2 linked regions of the Saccharomyces cerevisiae S288C genome follow. The protein of the gene in region 1 binds, or shares a complex with, the protein of each later gene. Each region holds a gene or a part of one and is shown in the gene's direction. Other genes may lie near its edges.

Region 1 (4,628 bases):
GCAAGGAGAGGCAGTGCCGGAGCCTGTGGAAGAAGAGAGTTAACCACCTCATAGAAAGACAAATAAAGAACTAATCAACGAATGAGAAAACATCTTTAATGGATGGTAAACATATATATATACAGATGTACACTTTTTATTTTTATTGCGATAGGTGTGAAAATGAACGTGACTTGAAACTTTGCGCGCAAACAAATCATATTATGAATTACTAAACACGTCCAGTTTATCTACATTTCTTTTCTTCTTTAATCCGATATAATAGGTCTCCTTTGATTCGTCTCTAGAAGCGTCAGGCTTGAACTTATGAACGTTAGTGAAAACTGCCTGCATTCTTTTTTTAAATAGGTTTTCTTCTTCGCCGGTGTATAGTTTACAAACAAACGAACCTAATGGCCGTAATAAATCTATAGCCGTAACTAAGGCTGCGTCACATAAATCAATAGATTGGTAATGGTCTCTTATACTGACACCAGATGTATTAGCCATCCTAAAATAAGCTTGATTAGTAATGTTGTTCCAAAAACCGGTTGTTTGGGGCCAGGGTTCATACATATCACTTATAATCACATCAACTGGGAATTTTTCTCGTTCTATTAGGGTACTATTCGTATTCGGAGTTTCATAAATGTCATCAGAGGTGAAAATTTCACGGTACAATTCAGTATCTTTCACATGGGTTAGCTCCTCCTCGAGCATGTTCTGGAAATAGCCATGGTCCTTATGCAAATCATCGTGTCTGTTCAATTGGAAATGCTTAGAAAAAAAGAGCCGTATAAGATCATGAGTTCTTTTGGCCAATATATTAGCTTGAATAGAGTTCACACCATGCGGAGGTTCACAAGGGAGAATGTCAACGCCCAGTATCATTGAATTAGGTGAACTTCTTTGCCGTGCTACTTGGGACCAAGCCCCAGGGGCATACCCAAGATCTAGAATTCTCTGATCGGTCCTGTTTTTGCTAAAAAGCCGATATTTATCATCAATCTGCATAAGCTTGAATGCGGCTCTAGACCTCAGATTTTGGACCTTGGCCTCTTTTGTGTAGGGATCCTTCAGTTGTCTATTCAGCCATCTGTTTTGTGAGTTAGAATTATACCGTACATGTATTCGACCTAAAGAAGACGATATTATACTCCTGATACGATTGTACACTAAAATCATGCTGTAATTTTCCCGTCAGTATGTGTAGTCATTACTTCAAACCTCGGATAAGCCCATCTTGATGGCTACGACTTCCATCTATATCAGAGGCTGACATTTTTCTCTCATTGACGGAGACGCCCTTTAACCGGACCTGATCATTTTTAAAAGAACGCCAGTAAAAGAGATCTTACAAATACCAGAGAAACGGTATTGAACCTTCTTCTTTGATTAGAACAAATTACTTGATCTTCTTTTTTAAAAAAGAACTGAAAAATCAAAAACGATACATGAAGATGGTATGTAAGTTAGCTAAATAACTTGCTTAATTTCAAGAAAGGGGACTGTAAAAAATTCAGTTTACTCTACCATTATCTCCATTAACATATCAACTTTTAGATCGCAATGAAGAAGACTGCGTTCATAAACCTTACCTCATAAGGCCAAACAGCTATCAGCTTTTGGCAAAAGTTGAATACGGACATTTTTGAACCCATACATCTTTCAATATGCACGGGTGCAACCTCAAATATTTAAAGTTTTTTTTTCCTGAAACTTTTTTTTCGCACACAATAATGCCATAGACATCTTTTGGCCTCAGATTGGAAAGTCCGAGGAAGAAAGACGCAATCAATGGGAAGAGTGTTGTATTTGGATTAAGATATGTAAGTACATCTTCGCAGCACTTCTTGAGCATTACGTTATTTGGTAACCTCTTGAAGTTTCAGGAAAGACTCCATAGAACTAGTCGCAAGCCTCACGGACCACCAAATACTTTGGAAGACTAATTACATATCATAAAATGTCTAAGATCACCTCTTCTCAAGTCAGAGAACACGTCAAGGAATTGTTGAAGTATTCCAACGAAACCAAGAAGAGAAACTTCTTGGAAACCGTCGAACTACAAGTCGGTTTGAAGAACTATGACCCTCAAAGAGACAAGCGTTTCTCTGGTTCTTTGAAGTTGCCAAACTGTCCAAGACCAAACATGTCCATCTGTATCTTCGGTGATGCTTTCGATGTTGACAGAGCTAAGTCTTGCGGTGTTGACGCTATGTCCGTCGATGACTTGAAGAAGTTGAACAAGAACAAGAAGTTAATCAAGAAGTTGTCTAAGAAGTACAACGCTTTCATTGCTTCCGAAGTTTTGATCAAGCAAGTTCCAAGACTATTGGGTCCTCAATTGTCCAAGGCTGGTAAGTTCCCAACCCCAGTTTCTCACAACGATGACTTGTACGGTAAGGTCACTGATGTCAGATCTACCATCAAGTTCCAATTGAAGAAGGTCTTGTGTTTGGCTGTTGCCGTTGGTAACGTTGAAATGGAAGAAGACGTTTTGGTTAACCAAATCTTGATGTCTGTTAACTTCTTTGTTTCTTTGTTGAAGAAGAACTGGCAAAATGTTGGTTCCTTGGTTGTTAAGTCCTCCATGGGTCCAGCTTTCAGATTGTACTAATCACTTCCGAGCGATTAATACATATCTCCATCTTTTTAAATACCTTTTTTAATACGTATGACTCTAAGTAGTAAAAGTATTATGCATAGTTTTAGCCAGATATTTTTGGGCCCGGAATATATCTTTTCGGGAAGCTCGGAGTATATTGCACCGATCCGATTCTTACTCCATATCATGCCATTTTTCTTTCCTTTCTCAGCGATGTTTTGTAGGAAATCACTTAGAACTTGCCTTACTTTAAAAGCATGTTGAGTGAATTTCACAGATCGATATGCTTTGGTGTTCAATCAGTTCAACCATACCTGCTATTATATAATCTTCGACTCGCATAATATAGGTATTCCATGCGCAAATAGATTACTTGCAAAATGGACATGACTAAAAACCACACCACTGACACAGAGGAGTTTGATGATGGTGATATACGTCCAGTCAGTTTGGGAATTGTGGACGATTATAACGCTTCGTTCGAATTACCTTTGAAACCAAAGTTTTTACAGAGTGAGAATTTCTCAGATTTAACAAGTGAATGGGACCAGTCTAGATCAAATACGCCTGGTCTTGCAGAAGGCAAGACTGAGAAAGCACAGCCATGCGGTACAACAGATAGTTCAAAAAATAGAATACATGTAGAGCAACTGTTGGAATCCGCTAATGAAATGAATAATTATTTGGCGCAGAATATAGAGAACATAAACAATTTTCAGGTGGGGCTATTGAATGGAGGGAAAGGATTATATAGTTCCATGGGTGATGATTCGAGCGCGTGTATTAATGGCACTAATTTTAGCTCAACGTCCAATTTTGAACTAAGTGATGATGAGCTAGAGGATACCACGGGTTGCACAAGTTCTATTTTTGATAAAGATCTTTTCCATCAACAAAACGGGCTAAGCATACCTCGCCGTAGATCACCACTCTTCAAATCTCCAACTGCCAGTTTCGAAATTGGCGATGCTACGGATGTGGAGGAGCAAGATATTGATGACTCCATTTTTTCTGAATGTAGCAGCATTACAAGCTTTGATATGGGAGGGTTGCATATCAGTCTACCACACGATGAAGAAGAAGATCAAGAAAAAACTAAGTCCGAAAGTGAAAACCCGTTGCTACATGGCATACCGGTTGATGTAGAAGTGCCCCACATATCGGTTGATGAAGCTCTGGCGAATTTCAAGGAAACCATAGAACTACTACTAAAACTTAGTGGCAATAGAAAGTGTACCGGTTTCAATACTAGAGTGGAGAAAAAAGAATACTCGAATTTCTACATGAAAAGTAAACCCACCTTATCATCAGCAGATTTTCTCAAGAGAATCCAAGACAAATGTGAGTACCAGCCAACTGTTTACCTTGTGGCAACATTTTTAATTGACACGTTGTTTTTAACAAGGGATGGCAATAACATTTTGCAGTTGAAGTTAAACTTACAGGAAAAGGAGGTCCATCGAATGATAATAGCAGCGGTTAGATTGAGCACGAAATTATTGGAAGATTTCGTTCACTCACATGAATATTTTAGTAAAGTATGCGGTATTTCGAAACGGCTTTTGACTAAATTAGAAGTCAGTCTATTGATCTGTGTGTGCAATACTAAATTAATGGTCAGTAACAGGAAATTAGCCGCCTCCAAATTACTTTTGAATGAACTACGGTCCTTCTGTGTATAGTTGATACAAGTATTTTAGATAATTATTTTAACGAACGTAACGAATGCTTTCCAGTCAATAGCGGCACTGGTAATATGATACAAACAATTTCTCAATAAAACAACGACAAACTTAGTCTGTTTATATTTCCGTGCAATGGTGGAAACCTGTACTCGATATTGGAGAAAACTTCAGAGCTTCCCAACAGTTATCCCGGATTCTTAATTGATGCTCTCGAAACGCACATAAAAATGTGATTTTTTTACTCGCATTAAATTACTGTTGAATCTATGGTTCAAACAAATGTATATTTGCCTACACATCTTTCTCTGTCCCTTCTGTATTGTCTAACCTTAAAATAGAAATATTTCATGGTTTTA
Region 2 (4,379 bases), on another chromosome or scaffold:
ACATTTACGTCATTTCTGGAGAACTTGTCCGAGTATAACGAAGTGGAGAATGTTAATGAAGAAGATAGAGAAATGTTTAAAATTGATTGGTCCTTCTGGACTCAAGTAGTTAATGATTATGCTACAGTGGCAAGCAACGAACCAGAAAATTTAGAAGCCCATGTTACCAATGGGATACCACCACAAATTCGAGGTATCATTTGGCAGCTGATGGCGAATTCCAAATCAAGAGAAATGGAAGATATATATGAAACTCTATTGGATACCGAATGTCTTCATGAAGCAACAATACGTAGAGATTTAAGGAGAACGAAGTTTGTGGCCGAGGACAAAATGGAGTCACTATACAAGGTAATAAAGGTGTATTCTGTTTATGATCCAGATGTTGGGTACACGCAAGGCATGGGGTTCATTGCAGCGCCGCTATTAATAAACTGTGAAAACGAGGCCGAATCTTTTGGACTACTCGTTGGATTAATGAAGAATTATGGATTAAGAGAGCTTTTCTTACCAGGAATGCCTGGGCTGATGTTAATGCTTTATCAATTTGATAGATTATTAGAGGAGCATTCACCTTCTTTGTACAATCGCTTGATCCGTGAGGGAATTAGCTCCACAATGTACGCTACACAATGGTTTTTGACATTTTTCGCATACAAGTTTCCGTTAGAGTTTGTGTTAAGAATTTTTGATATTGTATTCGTAGAGGGTATTGAAGTGCTTTTGAAGTTTGCTGTAAATTTAATGTTAAAGAATGAAGAAACTTTAGTAAAATTGAGATTCGATGAACTATTGGATTTTTTAAAGGACGAACTCTTCAATTACTATTTAATGGGAAACCAGGATGACGCTTCTGTAGTGCAAATGGGATTGTCAAATGGGAACTCATTTAAGGGCAATGATGACGGCACTTTTTCCTACAATGTCGATCTTTTCGTTCATGATGCAATGACAGGTGTATATATCACACCATTAACATTAAGAAGATACAGGGGAGAGTACGTAGAAATCCATGAAAAAGAGCAAAAAAAAGAGGACCACTACGAATCACTAAGAATTCAAAACCACCAACTACAAAGAGAGGCGCAGAAGCTAGAACACGACTATTCAATTTTGAACAAAGAGAATATCAGCGCCGCTAACGAGCTGATTCAGAACAGATTGAATATGGAGATGCTGTTGGATGAAAAAAACGACCTGATAAATACAATCACTGATATCAAAAGCCAAATTGAGGAAGAGATTCGCAAGCAAAATTTACCGAACCCGGACGCGTCACTACCAAAGGCAGATCTGAGAGAAGACTTGGAAAGGACCATATCCAGGAACAATGAGGTGATGAGGGAGAACGGCCAATTAGAGGAAAGAATCACTGAACTGCAAGCGGAAATCGATGAGTTGATTAACATCAATAAGGAGCAAGTGTCCACGGCATCGTTATTGGAACGAGATTCTAAGGCTAAAGGGAGGAAAGGCTGGACTGGTTTTAAAAAAGTTTTTAAATAGATGTATAGTTTTGCGCTGTGTGCACATTGTGTGCCTCTCCAATTTGTGTTAAAAAATGCATCACGACTCGTTTAGACAATGTTGTTGTTGTTGTTTTTTTTTTGACTGTATTTTCACCCGTACATCCACGGATGTGTTGGGTTTTTGTTTCCGCTTTACCGTGCGGGAGACGACCATGACCGAGAGGTCTGGTTGCGAAAGACGCACATACCGCGTGCGCGGAACTTTTTCATTGGGTTGCCAACCAAGGCTGTTCAGGGAAGCCCGACGAGGGAAGCTAGCATGAATGCACTAGGAGAGAGAGAGAGAGAGAGGCAGAGGAAGAGGCACATCATTGCATTTCTTGAATATTCGTTTTAATTAGCGTTAAGTCTTAAGTTCGTGTATTACCATAGTCAAAACAGAATAGAGAAGCAAGGATAATACAAAATGGCTGTCAAGACTGGTATGTTTACCTGAACTAATGAACTGTAGAGCAAAAGCAAAATGAACTGAACCACTAAGCCAACAACAGAAATACAAACAGGATGAGATTAAGCTCCAGAGATATGCAAACATCGTTTATATCCTGCACCCAGCGTTGCAGTACTCCGTGGAGTCTTTGTTTATTTATTTTGCTCGTATACTACGTGAGTACTAGTGTGCTTGTTACTAACATAAGATATTCTATTTTTTTCCTCTAGGTATCGCTATTGGTTTGAACAAGGGTAAGAAAGTCACCCAAATGACTCCAGCCCCAAAGATCTCCTACAAGAAGGGTGCTGCCTCCAACAGAACCAAGTTCGTCAGATCTTTGGTTAGAGAAATCGCCGGTTTGTCCCCATATGAAAGAAGATTGATCGATTTGATCAGAAACTCCGGTGAAAAGAGAGCCAGAAAGGTCGCCAAGAAGAGATTGGGTTCTTTCACCAGAGCCAAGGCTAAGGTCGAAGAAATGAACAACATCATTGCTGCCTCTCGTCGTCATTAAACAGCGTGAGGGGGCCACAGTCAAGCAAATCCAACTCCGCCACAAGACCGAGTGCTATTTTCCATGGCTCTCCCCCAAAGCTAGTTAATAAAAAATAAGTAACAAATCATTATAGTAATTCTTAATCGATATCTATTTAAGAAGTGTAACAGCACATGCAATGAACCGACTTCGTCATTCATTACCTCTGCTTTTCCCTTTTTCAACAGTCACGTGCGCATCTCCCTTCCGGGTAAGCACCGCACATGCCAAAGACCCTATCCTGGCTCGCCCACTCACTCATCTCCATTAGAGACTCAACCACATTTGTGGGTGTGTTACAGAAGTTACACCATACCCACTGTCCTGGTCCGCAACAGTTGCAAAATCAATGATGCCTGCTACCGTCATGCTATCATGACAAACGATGGCACCTTTGCCAAGCAAAAAACTGTAAACAAAACCAAACCAAGAAGTCCCTTGGGGTTGTGAGCCATATTCTCCATCTGCGTTGTTTCATAACCAGCCCAAAGGGTTGCACGTTCTCTTCCGTCGATCTGGAACCAAGCTGTGGCGCTGCGTGGAACCGTCCGGAAATCTACAGAAGCCGTTAGAAGAAAACAGAATAAACACACGTGACCCCGTCAGTGTGGAAAGCCGCGGGATCACCACCGTTATTCGTTTTTTTTAGCACGCGCGCGAAGATGACACATTGCACACCACATGTTTATGACCATTGTTATTACTCATTTCACTGTTATTTTGCATCCACATCCACACCCGGGTGGTTTTGCAATTCGGTAATTACTCCACGGTGCATAAAGAAGCGGCTCTGCGTAAAAAGGTATATATAAGAACAGGACTCATCTTGATTTCGGAAAGGGTCTGGAGCAACTCTCTTTCTTTCTTACTTGTTTTATTCTTGAGAAAACCAAACTAAATTGGCTACACCAAACCAACCAAACTTACACACAATAATATACAATTACAATTATTTACAATGTCCTCTGTGGAATCTTCCCCCATCTCGCGCTATGAAGACGAGGTCTTCCCTCTTTCGTTTTCAAACGTTGCTTTCGAGCCCCCTATGCTCTCGCATAGCCCGGACAGATCGACTTATGCCGATGACTTTTCTCAATCTTACCAGCAAGAATTGCTAACTTTTCCGCTATCGTACCCGATTGTCGATGAGTCAGAATGCACGCACACTAAAGATAAGACGGACAGCAACATAATAACGAGTACTGAAGACGATTGCATGTTCGATATGGAATTTAACGGCAACGCCGCCAGTGCAGTTGCTGCTGCTAGTAAGGAATCTAACTCTGCCTCTGGGTTTGCCTTTGCAAGTAACGATGCCTTTGCCAATGTCGCACAACAGAACTACAGACTGTGGTTGTCATCGGTATGACGCATTTTACCACATCTCTACTTGTTCTCACGACCCCTTGCATCGCATATCCTACACATTTTAAATCGGCATTCCTTCCAAGCATATTCTTAATTCCTAATTTTACATAGTTTTTTTTTTTTTTTAGAGAAAATAACAACAATATACATAGAACTTACTTACTCAATTCTACTATATCTTTTTTTTTTGTTACTATTAGTCATGTTTGCATGACTCCATTACATTTTCGTTTTTTTGCTAGCCAATTCTGGTCGTCGGAAAAACTTTTCATTGAATCTTTCAAAGCGTGTAGCAGTTGCATTTTTTTAAAAATGAATATGTATGCAAAATATATATATGTATATATATGCCTAATATACATAATAATAGAAAAAAAAAACCTCATACGAAATAGGCGCTTCTCGTATCTATACTCAACCCGCCCCCAATGCTGAAAATTGTTACTCGGGCTGGACACACAGCTAGAATATCGAACATCGCAGCACATCTTTTACGCACCTCTCCATCTCTGCT

Evidence for each region. Proteins that work in one complex are often made in the same cells at the same time.
Region 2: RPL1B (region 1) and RPL36B share a complex: the UniProt entries of both Saccharomyces cerevisiae proteins name them as parts of the large ribosomal subunit.

What each region holds. Positions count from the first base shown.
Region 1 is NC_001139.9:252,696-257,323, forward strand, and holds RPL1B (60S ribosomal protein uL1 RPL1B), read left to right. Parts: upstream 1-1,945; coding exon 1,946-2,599; downstream 2,600-4,628. Other genes in the region: SEC27 (coatomer subunit beta'), read left to right, coding at 1-43; MRM2 (21S rRNA (uridine2791-2'-O) methyltransferase), read right to left, coding at 202-1,164; PCL10 (Pcl10p), read left to right, coding at 2,968-4,269. UniProt on the Saccharomyces cerevisiae protein: Component of the ribosome, a large ribonucleoprotein complex responsible for the synthesis of proteins in the cell.
Region 2 is NC_001148.4:73,796-78,174, reverse strand, and holds RPL36B (60S ribosomal protein eL36 RPL36B), read left to right. Parts: upstream 1-1,935; coding exon 1,936-1,951; intron 1,952-2,189; coding exon 2,190-2,476; downstream 2,477-4,379. Other genes in the region: GTPase-activating protein GYP5, read left to right, coding at 1-1,506; ATG41 (Atg41p), read left to right, coding at 3,456-3,866; YAH1 (adrenodoxin), read left to right, coding at 4,294-4,379. UniProt on the Saccharomyces cerevisiae protein: Component of the ribosome, a large ribonucleoprotein complex responsible for the synthesis of proteins in the cell.